Xenopus tropicalis: one gene and its partners. The protein of the gene in region 1 interacts with the protein of each later gene in a pairwise test. Links are inferred from orthologs where the notes say so. Each region holds a gene or a part of one and is shown on either strand. Other genes may lie near its edges.

Region 1 (4,140 bases):
AACAATTGTTACCATGTTACCCAGTGCAGTCCTATATGATTTTTGGGCATGCTTTTTAAAATCAGTAAATACAAATGTACCACAACCAATGATATGCGATATTTCTATATGTAGATAAGATGAGCTTAACAATACAGAATGTGTAAAATTGCTTACTGGTCATGTGTAGCAAGATGCTCTTTGCTGTAGCGTGTATCTTTCGCATACTTTATAAGCATGCACTTGTACTGTGCAATCTGAAACCGTCGCACTCTGCGCATCAGCTCTGTGCTGTAAAATATACAGAAAATTTGTTCAGCAGAATAGGAAAATAAGCAGTCTCATGCGATGACATACAGCAGTTAAAGGACAATAAACATACTTTTTTAAAAAGGCTTACTATAATACATACTGCAGCACTCTAAAAATGGATGCAATGTGAGCAAATACCAAACAGCACCACCATCCATTCAAAAAAAAAAAAAAAAAAAAAAAAAAAAAAGAAGAATTGTCCCAACGCAGACCAAGACTGATTCCCCTACTGCCCTCCTTCCAAAGCACTTTAGCCCATTGGAAGTAGCGTGCCCCATTGCCATAGCAACACACTGTTCTCAATAAGGAACATCTAGATTACAGCTCATGAGAGAGAATATAGAATTGCGCGGTCCTTTGAACTCACCTTTTTCCAGAAAACATTGGCCCAAATATCACCTAAAAGTAAAAACAAATGGGTTTGAAATACAAATTAACACACAAACCAACTATAGCAGTCATGGTATATACACTTTCATTTGATGGACATGTATACTTTTTAACATCTTTTATCATTAACCATGTAGCTAATTTGAGCATTTTGTGTTCTTTGGGGCATTTTGTCTTTTAGTTTACATATTGAAACTGCCCATTGCTTTGTTAGGACAACCTTAACATTCTCAGAGTCTTTGTGCAACTCCACTTCTGTAACATGATAAAAATAATTTCTATACAATACAGAAGTATATATCAGAAGCATTTTATATTTCACTGATCTGGAAGGCCCCATGTCTCCCGAATGAGCCAATACCAGAATTCTGACTTGTACAGGTCATAAATTCCAAACATAAGCAGGTTTTCAAAGCAGTGCAGCAGAAATCAGCATACAATTGCATGGCCAAATAATTTCCAGTGGTAGCAATGCTTTGCTAAAGTGGATTTCTAATAAATTTTAGTAAAAACTAACTCAAACCTCTCTGTATTTTATCTTCAAAATGTGATAAAGGTACCATTGTATGGCACTATAAATAGGACGGGTCTTCTGGCCCTGTATCCATACAAAGGTTCGCCAAAGACCGTGAAATGTAAAGGCCCCAAAATGAAAATAATAAATAAAATAGTCATGGCAGTCTCTTCAACTACTTCAAAATTAGCACACAGACCAGATTTTTACAATACTGCTTGTTTCCTAGGGGCTGGAGAACAAAGGAGCAGCATAAACGCCGCTCTCCTCCCCACCTGTGAGTGCGGCAGAATGTAGAATCTATGTTGTGGAATGTAGAACCTTTTATCTACAGAATGTGTATTCAGTCAAACCTTTGTTCAAAACACAATTCTGCATTCCATCCTTTGCCAGCATTAGTATTCTATTTATAGATAAACTCTGTAAGAATGCATATGATATATACCCAATCCCAACTACTACAACAGTGATCCCCAACCAGTGACTCCTGAGCAACATGTCACTCCCCACCCCCTTGGATGTTGCTCCCAGTGGTCTCAAAGCAGGTGCTCATTTTTGAATGTCTGGCTTGGAGGCAAGTTTTGGAATCACAGAGACACAGTTTTACTTCAAGCAGAGCCTCCTGCAGGCTAGCAGCCCACATGGGGCTATCGAATAGCCAATCACAGCCCTTATTTGGCAACCCCAAAAACCTTTTTCATGCCTGTGTGGCCCACCAACACTTTTTACAGCAGAGTGTGGCTCACAAGCAAAAAAAGGTTGGGGATCCCTGTACTAAGACACTGGGAATAGTCTTTGCCAACACTTTATGGGGCTCACATACAAAAGAAAGTGAATTCATTGTGTGCCATAAACCCCCCTAGAAAATAACCCTGAATATCAGGCTCAGACTGCCAATCTGCAGATTTTGGTACATGCCACAAACAGTCACTATTTCTGGAGCCTGTCCCTGGCTGTTTAGGCCTCTGTGTGCTTGAAATAGCAGGTTCTGTTTTGAATCCCAGCCCCTATGATGCCATATGTGCCACTACCCTAAAAACCAGAATTCTTAGCAGTCTTTCCACTTACTGCTAGAATTATTTGGCACACACCATAAGCTTCAAGGGCAGGGATATATTTTGTTTTGTTCTTTCCAGGCACCAGAGTGCAACCCCTAAGGCTGCCACATTTGGTACATGCCCTTGGGTACTTATATAAAAATGATAACCCCACTAATAAGGAACAAAGTCCCTGCCCTGTACAGTTGCACTTAAATATATACTTAACCCAAATGTAAGTCTATATACAAGATGTATGTCTGGGAGCTGCATGATGCAGTGTGTTGTGCCTCACAGCCCTTGGTGTATAATACTGAGGGCAAATATAATCTATACATGCACCTGAGCCCACTATTAATACACGTTCCCTTTAGGGGGCCTCTCATAAAGATGTGTTAGGCTAGATACAACACAAAAACTCCCTTGCAGCTGTCATATAACAAGAGTGCTCAGCCAGTTTCTCCTAGAACTACAAATCACTTCACTTCATGACAAGTCATCTGGAGAGTAAACTGCATGGCTAAATGTAATGCTGTGCCCGGCTTACCTGGATCTGGCCCCGGGATTTGCTGGGCGAGCCTGGCATGATTTCGGGTACGTTGAGGCAATTCATATCGGTACCAGGCGAGAGCAGAGCGCGGGAATGACTGTGTCCGGTACAGTCACTTCTTTCAATACAACGTCTGTGCATTCTCCCGCGCAGCTCTGTCCAATCACAGGCGGCGATGGTGTACGCTAGCCAATGGGATTCTACAGCCCCCGCTGTTATGAAGATGAGGAAGGAGGGGATTCAGCTTTCACTGGTTGGCCTGGTGTTTGGCAAACGAGTTGGAGGTGGCGGGAAAAGAAAATTAAATAAACATGAATTTGTAACTAGTGGGACCCTGTAATGTAAATGTTCTTTTCCAGTTAGCGAGGGAGTATGCAAGGGTCAGTTGCATATAATATGAAGGAAAGCTTGCGGAACGCTTCAATGAAATCTACCGCTGATACCGCAGCGAAATCCTGTTGTGGGTTGTGGCACTTGTTAGAACGATGGCTGACGCGTTTTGGCACTAGTATTACGCTTAGCCTGTATGTTTAAAGAAGTGCTTCACAATTTTAATAAAATCACCCCCCCCAACTCTGTCCCTTTTGCCAAAGTAAGAATTTTTGCAATAGAAGAAAATACATTTTTAAAAAAAAAAAAAATTGTGCCAATAGCAGATATTTATTTTCAGAGAGAGCTTTCCCAGCTAATAGGGGCTCCATGCCCCGCTAATAGGGGCTCCATGCCCCGCTAATAGGGGCTCCATGCCCAGCTAATAGGGGCTCCATGCCCCGCTAATAGGGGCTCCATGCCTAGCTAATAGGGGCTCCATGCCTAGCTAATAGGGGCTCCATGCCCCGCTAATAGGGGCTCCATGCCCAGCTAATAGGGGCTCCATGCCCCGCTAATAGGGGCTCCATGCCCCGCTAATAGGGGCTCCATGCCCAGCTAATAGGGGCTCCATGCCCAGCTAATAGGGGCTCCATGCCCAGCTAATACGAGCTCCATGCCCAGCTAATAGGGGCTCCATGCCCAGCTAATAGGGGCTCCATGCCCAGCTAATAGGGGCTCCATGCCCCGCTAATAGGGGCTCCATGCCCCGCTAATAGGGGCTCCATGCCCAGCTAATAGGGGCTCCATGCCCCGCTGAAGGTCTCTGACTTTCTCCTTTGTCATATTACCTGCTATTACTGCTACTGCCCAGTTTCTCACTACTTTGTTTGTATAGTATTAATCAGATTGTCAGGAAGTATAATATCATACCTCCCAACATTTGAAAAATGAAAAGAGGGACAAAAAGATTTGGCACGCGCAGCACGGCAATTTTTGACCACGCCCCCTTTTGTGGCCACGCCCCAATTACCACATCCCATTTTTAA
Region 2 (4,004 bases), on another chromosome or scaffold:
CAGCAGGCTTGGGTATATATAGCACCGCTAGGGGGCAGCAGGCTTGGGTATATATAGCACCGCTAGGGGGCAGTAGGCTTGGGTAGGTATAACACCGCTAGGGGGCAGTAGGCTTGGGTATATACAGCACCGCTAGGGGGCAGCAGGCTTGGGTATATATAGCACCGCTAGGGGGCAGTAGGCTTGGGTATATATAGCACCGCTAGGGGGCAGTAGGCTTGGGTAGGTATAACACCGCTAGGGGGCAGCAGGCTTGGGTATATACAGCACCGCTAGGGGGCAGTAGGCTTGGGTAGGTATAACACCGCTAGGGGGCAGTAGGCTTGGGTAGGTATAACACCGCTAGGGGCAGCAGGCTTGGGTATATATAGCACCGCTAGGGGGCAGCAGGCTTGGGTATTTATAGCACCGCTAGGGGGCAGCAGGCTTGGGTATATATAGCACCGCTAGGGGGCAGCAGGCTTGGGTATATATAGCACCGCTAGGGGGCAGCAGGCTTGGGTATATATAGCACCGCTAGGGGGCAGCAGGCTTGGGTATATATAGCACCGCTAGGGGGCAGCAGGCTTGGGTATATATAGCACCGCTAGGGGGCAGTAGGCTTGGGTATATATAGCACCGCTAGGGGGCAGTAGGCTTGGGTATATATAGCACCGCTAGGGGGCAGTAGGCTTGGGTATATATAACACCGCTAGGGGGCAGTAGGCTTGGGTATATACAGCACCGCTAGGGGGCAGCAGGCTTGGGTATATACAGCACCGCTAGGGGGCAGCAGGCTTGGGTATATATAACACCGCTAGGGGGCAGTAGGCTTGGGTATATACAGCACCGCTAGGGGGCAGCAGGCTTGGGTATATACAGCACCGCTAGGGGGCAGTAGGCTTGGGTATATATAGCACCGCTAGGGGGCAGTAGGCTTGGGTAGGTATAACACCGCTAGGGGGCAGCAGGCTTGGGTATATACAGCACCGCTAGGGGGCAGTAGGCTTGGGTAGGTATAACACCGCTAGGGGGCAGTAGGCTTGGGTAGGTATAACACCGCTAGGGGGCAGCAGGCTTGGGTATATATAGCACCGCTAGGGGCAGCAGGCTTGGGTATTTATAGCACCGCTAGGGGGCAGCAGGCTTGGGTATATATAGCACCGCTAGGGGGCAGCAGGCTTGGGTATATATAGCACCGCTAGGGGGCAGCAGGCTTGGGTATATATAGCACCGCTAGGGGGCAGCAGGCTTGGGTATATATAGCACCGCTAGGGGGCAGCAGGCTTGGGTATATATAGCACCGCTAGGGGGCAGTAGGCTTGGGTATATATAGCACCGCTAGGGGGCAGTAGGCTTGGGTATATATAGCACCGCTAGGGGGCAGCAGGCTTGGGTATATATAACACCGCTAGGGGGCAGTAGGCTTGGGTATATATAGCACCGCTAGGGGGCAGCAGGCTTGGGTATATATAGCACCGCTAGGGGGCAGCAGGCTTGGGTATATATAGCACCGCTAGGGGGCAGTAGGCTTGGGTATATACAGCACCGCTAGGGGGCAGCAGGCTTGGGTATATATAGCACCGCTAGGGGGCAGTAGGCTTGGGTAGGTATAACACCGCTAGGGGGCAGCAGGCTTGGGTATATACAGCACCGCTAGGGGGCAGTAGGCTTGGGTAGGTATAACACCGCTAGGGGGCAGTAGGCTTGGGTAGGTATAACACCGCTAGGGGGCAGCAGGCTTGGGTATATACAGCACCGCTAGGGGGCAGCAGGCTTGGGTATATATAGCACCGCTAGGGGGCAGCAGGCTTGGGTATATATAGCACCGCTAGGGGGCAGTAGGCTTGGGTATATATAACACCGCTAGGGGGCAGTAGGCTTGGGTATATATAGCACCGCTAGGGGGCAGCAGGCTTGGGTATATATAGCACCGCTAGGGGGCAGTAGGCTTGGGTAGGTATAACACCGCTAGGGGGCAGCAGGCTTGGGTATTTATAGCACCGCTAGGGGGCAGCAGGCTTGGGTATATATAGCACCGCTAGGGGGCAGTAGGCTTGGGTATATATAGCACCGCTAGGGGGCAGTAGGCTTGGGTATATATAGCACCGCTAGGGGGCAGCAGGCTTGGGTATATATAGCACCGCTAGGGGGCAGCAGGCTTGGGTATATATAGCACCGCTAGGGGGCAGCAGGCTTGGGTATATATAGCACCGCTAGGGGGCAGCAGGCTTGGGTATATATAACACCGCTAGGGGCAGCAGGCTTGGGTATATATAGCACCGCTAGGGGGCAGCAGGCTTGGGTATATATAGCACCGCTAGGGGGCAGCAGGCTTGGGTATATATAGCACCGCTAGGGGGCAGTAGGCTTGGGTATATATAGCACCGCTAGGGGGCAGTAGGCTTGGGTATATATAGCACCGCTAGGGGGCAGCAGGCTTGGGTATATACAGCACCGCTAGGGGCACTTACCTCTGGGTGGGGGCGGTTTTCTCCTGGGAGTTCACCCCCAGCTGCTGGAACTGAGACATGGGTGGGCCCGGATTATTGAAGCCGCAGTACGGCGCCCAAATGGGGGAAATATAAAGCAATAATTCCCCAAACTGACATTCCCCGCGATACACACAGCGCCCCCTGTCGGGCTGACACCGCCCCTCCCCTGACAAACAGTAACACTGCGCCCCCTGATGGAGCCCCGGATTCCCGCCCTTTCCGCTCAGGGCTCAGTCACACACTCTCCGGTTCCGCACACACAGGGCCCCTCACTCTCTCCGCGCCGCACTGCTCCCGCCGAGCCCGCCACCCACAGCCCCAACCTACTGGCACCGTACGGAACACTTACTGCTCTCCCGGCTCAGCCTACCGGAAGCCACTCCTTCCTCGCCCGGACTCATTGGCTCTTTGCATTGGCTCTGCGCGTCACGTCCAATAGCGCCTCTGCTTCCTGTGCCACTTCCGGCAACGCGATTTCCGGCCAGTCTAGAAAAAAATCCCAGTTCCGGTTTGCTGAGCGGAAGCTTTTGTTTTCTCAGAGGAAGTGTATGGTTCTGAGTCGCCGCTTAGCGGGGTGTTAGGGCCGCAGTGTTAGAGGCAGAGAGGGCTCAGAACTGAGGCTGAATGTATCTTTATTGCGCTTGGTCTGAGCGATTTAGCGCCACTTGGCTCCCATGTAGGGAGGAGTCAGCCATTGTGCTGCTGTGTGTATACATAGGGACACTTTCACTTATATTACTGACTGTATATAGTCACAGTGACACAGTGTTGCTTGTTAATGTGCATACTACATACCTCCCAACGTTTTGAAAATGGAAAGAGGGACAAAAGGAAATGCAGCAACATTTGTTGACCACGCCCATTTTTGTGACCACACCCCCTAAGTACCTCTCCCATGTGACTACATTTGGCAGGTTAAAGTTTGAACACATTTCTGGGGGTTTTATGTGTTATTACAGTTTTGTTCAAAAGTCTCAGTTCCCCCAAGAGACCCGTTTAGCTTATTAGTTACACTTGTATCTCAGTGCAGGTGAAGCTCGTTAACTTTCTGGGCTCTCTGCCAAAAGCTACTTATTTAATTAAATATGGAAAACACTGTATCTCAGTGCAGGTGAAGCTCGTTAACTTTCTGGGCTCTCTGCCAAAAGCTACTTATTTAATTAAATATGGAAAACACTGTATCTAAGTGCAGGTGAAGCTCGTTAAGATTTCTGGGCTCTGCCAAAAGCTACTTATTTAATTAAATATGGAAAACACTGTATGTAAGTGCAGGTGAAGCTTGTTAAGATATCTGGGCTCTCTGCCAAAAACTTATTTAATGAAATGTTAGAAACACTGTACCTAAGTGCAGGTGAAGCTTGTTACCTTTCTGGGCTCTCTGCCAAAAGCTACTTATTTAATTAAATATGGAAAACACTGTATCTCAGTGCAGGTGAAGCTTGTTAACTTTCTGGGCTCTCTGCCAAAAGCTACCTATTTAATTAAATATGGAAAACACTGTATCTCAGTGCAGGTGAAGCTTGTTAACTT
Region 3 (4,055 bases), on another chromosome or scaffold:
ATGAGAGCAGGGGCAGGCAGTAACCCTTCCAACACTTTCCCCTGTCTCTGCCCTATATATTAGGTACCTACCTAGTGCTACCAACTCCTATTTCTGTAGGGAAATGAGAGCAGAGCAGGCAGTAACCCTTCCAACACTTTCCCCTGTCTCTGCCCCTATATATTAGGTACCTACCTAGTGCTACCAACCCCTATTTCTGTAGGGAAATGAGAGCAGGGCAGGCAGTAACCCTTCCAACACTTTCCCCTGTCTCTGCCCCTATATATTAGGTACCTACCTAGTGCTACCAACCCCTATTTCTGTAGGGAAATGAGAGCAGAGCAGGCAGTAACCCTTCCAACACTTTCCCCTGTCTCTGTCCCTATATATTAGGTACCTACCTAGTGCTACCAACCCCTATTTCTGTAGGGAAATGAGAGCAGGGCAGGCAGTAACCCTTCCAACACTTTCCCCTGTCTCTGTCCCTATATATTAGGTACCTACCTAGTGCTACCAACCCCTATTTCTGTAGGGAAATGAGAGCAGAGCAGGCAGTAACCCTTCCAACACTTTCCCCTGTCTCTGTCCCTATATATTAGGTACCTACCTAGTGCTACCAACCCCTATTTCTGTAGGGAAATGAGAGCAGAGCAGGCAGTAACCCTTCCAACACTTTCCCCTGTCTCTGTCCCTATATATTAGGTACCTACCTAGTGCTACCAACCCCTATTTCTGTAGGGAAATGAGAGCAGAGCAGGCAGTAACCCTTCCAACACTTTCCCCTGTCTCTGTCCCTATATATTAGGTACCTACCTAGTGCTACCAACCCCTATTTCTGTAGGGAAATGAGAGCAGGGCAGGCAGTAACCCTTCCAACACTTTCCCCTGTCTCTGTCCCTATATATTAGGTACCTACCTAGTGCTACCAACCCCTATTTCTGTAGGGAAATGAGAGCAGGGCAGGCAGTAACCCTTCCAACACTTTCCCCTGTCTCTGCCCCTATATATTAGGTACCTACCTAGTGCTACCAACCCCTATTTCTGTAGGGAAATGAGAGCAGGGCAGGCAGTAACCCTTCCAACACTTTCCCCTGTCTCCGTCTGTCGCTCGGCTCCTGAATATTTCATGCCATTTCCTTCTGGTTTGGTGGAGAATGATAGAAATGTCCGTAGAAGGAGATTGGATGCTGGGAGGAGAGGGAGGAGGAGAAAGGGATAGAGAGACAGAGGGGAGGAGAGATAGAAAGAGACAGAGGGGAGGAGAGAGAGAGAGAGAGAGAGAGAGAGGGAGAGAGAGACAGATGAGGAGGGGGATGGGACACGTCTTTGTATAGCAGAACGAGGCTTGTGAGGAACAGACCCATAGAGATACCCAGTGCCACTGGCAGCCACACATGTACCCACTGCCTCCGTGACACCCAGAGACCCACACACAGGGCGAGCCACCCTAGGGTGCCACAGGCACATCCTCAGCGGCACTGGTCCTCCCTGCTCCATCAGCATCACTCCCCCAGGAGAAGGAACCATGGGTGCATCCGAGAGACTAAAGTCCAGCCTTCTGCCTGCCAGCTGCCTCCTTCTGCTGGGTGCTCAGGTGAGGGGGCTCTACAGGGCCATATTGGGGTGGGTGCTGGGTGGGCGACGTTGCCTAAGGGCAAGGGGTGAAAGGAAAGGTGCAGACAGTGGGCACAGCTGGACTGGGTGGAGCCCCTCTCTATAGTGGCACGGGGGGGGGGGCAGCATGGAAGGATTCAGGTCATGTTTCTATTGGCTTGGCAGGGGGGGTTATTGTGATGAATTGCCCCCACCAACCCAACGCTTCATGTGGCAGCGAAGGGGTTAATTCACGTGTGATGGGTGCGCAGGGAGTAGGTATTGATCTGGAAGCGGGGGCGGATGGGGCATCAGCAGGGGCAGTTGTGCTAGGGCTGGGGGGGCTGGGAGGGGGGGATCCAATATAGATTGAAGGGTCCTGCATGGGGTTAATGTTGTTTTCTTCATATGACACCGATATCCATAATAATCAATAATCCATAATCATAAACCCATAGCCCATAGGGTTGTGCAGCATACAAGGCTTGTCTCAAGAGCTTACAGTCTAGAGGGACACCCTACCTCGCCGGGTGGTGCTAAAGCGTGTAGGCTTCTGTAAAAGCGACATGCAAAATACTGGACTCAGGAGCTCACAATCTAAAGGGTCAAGGTGGCCGCCAGTTGGAAGGTAAAATGGGGGGAGATCAGTCCGTGGCCCTCCAGCCCCCACATACATAGAAATACACATTTATTAACAATGGGCAAAACTGCACCAATGCAGTAACCCGTAGCAACCAATTAGAGGTGTCAGCCTGCAGTCGACAGATATAGTGTAAGTGTAATTGCTGATTGGTCGGAAGGGGTTGGTGCAGTGGTGCCCACTTACCTGTTAGTAACAAAAAATGTATCTGGATTTCTAAAGCTACGGGCCAGGGGCCAATGGCACCTCTGGGCACAAGGGAATGCTGGTTGCCAGGTCTGATTCAGGGTAGTAGGTCCCATGGCACAATAGGTCTCCCCCATTATTTATACACAATAATACGGCCCAACCTTCTGCTCACCCACTGTTGTGTAACTATGTGATTTCTGCCACTTCAACAACAACTGAAGGGCTACAGGTTGGCACCACGGTTACTGTCACACAGTGTTACCGGCCCAGTCTTACCCTACCCACCACCTTGCCTTCATTCCTTATCTTCCCCTACTGTCTCCATCTTCCCCTACTGTCTCCATCTTGCCCTACTGTCTCCATCTTGCCCTACTGTCTCCATCTTGCCCTACTGTCTCCATCTTGCCCTACTGTCTCCATCTTGTCCTACTGTCTCCATCTTGCCCTACTGTCTCCATCTTGCTCTACTGTCTCCATCTTGTCCTACTGTCTCCATCTTGCTCTACTGTCTCCATCTTGCCCTACTGTCTCCATCTTGCCCTACTGTCTCCATCTTGCCCTACTGTTTCCATCTTGACATCTTTTCCTACTGTCTCCATCTTGCCCTACTGTCTCCATCTTGCTCTACTGTCTCCATCTTGCCCTACTGTCTCCATCTTGCCCTACTGTCTCCATCTTGCCCTACTGTCTCCATCTTGTCCTACTGTCTCCATCTTGCCCTACTGTCTCCATCTTGCTCTACTGTCTCCATCTTGCCCTACTGTCTCCATCTTGCCCTACTGTCTCCATCTTGCTCTACTGTCTCCATCTTGTCCTACTGTCTCCATCTTGCTCTACTGTCTCCATCTTGCCCTACTGTCTCCATCTTGCCCTACTGTCTCCATCTTGCCCTACTGTCTCCATCTTGTCCTACTGTCTCCATCTTTCCCTACTATCTCCATCTTGTTTTACTGTCTCCATCTTGCTCTACTGTCTCCATCTTGCCCTACTGTCTCCATCTTGCCCTACTGTCTCCATCTTGTCCTACTGTCTCCATCTTTCCCTACTATCTCCATCTTGTTTTACTGTCTCCATCTTGCTCTACTGTCTCCATCTTGCCCTACTGTCTCCATCTTGTCCTACTGTCTGCATCTTTCCCTACTGTCTGCATCTTGTTTTATTGTCTCCATCTTGTTCTACTGTTTCCATCTTGCCCGACTGTCTTCATCTTGTTCTACTGTCTCCATCTTGCTCGACTGTCTTTATCTTGCCCTACTGTCTCCATCTTGTCCTACTGTCTCCATCTTGTTCTACTGTCTCCATCTTGCCCTACTGTCTCCATTTTTCCCTACTGTCTCCATCTTGTTCTACTGTCTCCATCTTGCCCTAATGTCTCCATCTTGGCCTACTGTCCCCATCTTGTTCTACTGTCTCCATCTTGCCCTACTGTCTCCATCTTGTCCTACTGTCTCCATCTTGCCCTACTGTCTCCATCTTGTCCTACTGTCTCCATCTTGTTCTACTGTCTCCATCTTGCCCTACTGTCTCCATCTTGGCCTACTGTCTCCATCTTGCCCTACTGTCTCTATCTTGTTCTACTGTCTCTATCTTGTTCTACTGTCTCCATTTTGTCCTACTGTCTCCATCTTGTCCTACTGTCTCCATCTTGCCCTAC

What was found. The genes of interacting proteins can lie anywhere in the genome.
Region 2: the proteins of tk1 (region 1) and lrif1 interact in a two-hybrid assay, tested with the Homo sapiens proteins (2 studies listed by BioGRID and IntAct). The link is inferred for Xenopus tropicalis from reciprocal best matches to the Homo sapiens genes TK1 and LRIF1.
Region 3: the proteins of tk1 (region 1) and aplp1 interact in a two-hybrid assay, tested with the Homo sapiens proteins (2 studies listed by BioGRID and IntAct). The link is inferred for Xenopus tropicalis from reciprocal best matches to the Homo sapiens genes TK1 and APLP1.

What each region holds. Positions count from the first base shown.
Region 1 is NC_030686.2:26,185,856-26,189,995, reverse strand, and holds the start of tk1 (thymidine kinase, cytosolic), read right to left. Parts: upstream 2,864-4,140; 5' UTR 2,846-2,863; coding exon 2,780-2,845; intron 691-2,779; coding exon 659-690; intron 271-658; coding exon 157-270; intron 1-156. UniProt on the Homo sapiens protein: Cell-cycle-regulated enzyme of importance in nucleotide metabolism. Catalyzes the first enzymatic step in the salvage pathway converting thymidine into thymidine monophosphate.
Region 2 is NC_030678.2:178,774,837-178,778,840, reverse strand, and holds the start of lrif1 (ligand-dependent nuclear receptor-interacting factor 1), read right to left. Parts: upstream 2,807-4,004; 5' UTR 2,513-2,806; coding exon 2,454-2,512; intron 1-2,453. UniProt on the Homo sapiens protein: Together with SMCHD1, involved in chromosome X inactivation in females by promoting the compaction of heterochromatin.
Region 3 is NC_030683.2:128,757,599-128,761,653, forward strand, and holds the start of aplp1 (amyloid-like protein 1), read left to right. Parts: upstream 1-1,249; 5' UTR 1,250-1,504; coding exon 1,505-1,573; intron 1,574-4,055. UniProt on the Homo sapiens protein: May play a role in postsynaptic function. The C-terminal gamma-secretase processed fragment, ALID1, activates transcription activation through APBB1 (Fe65) binding. Couples to JIP signal transduction through C-terminal binding.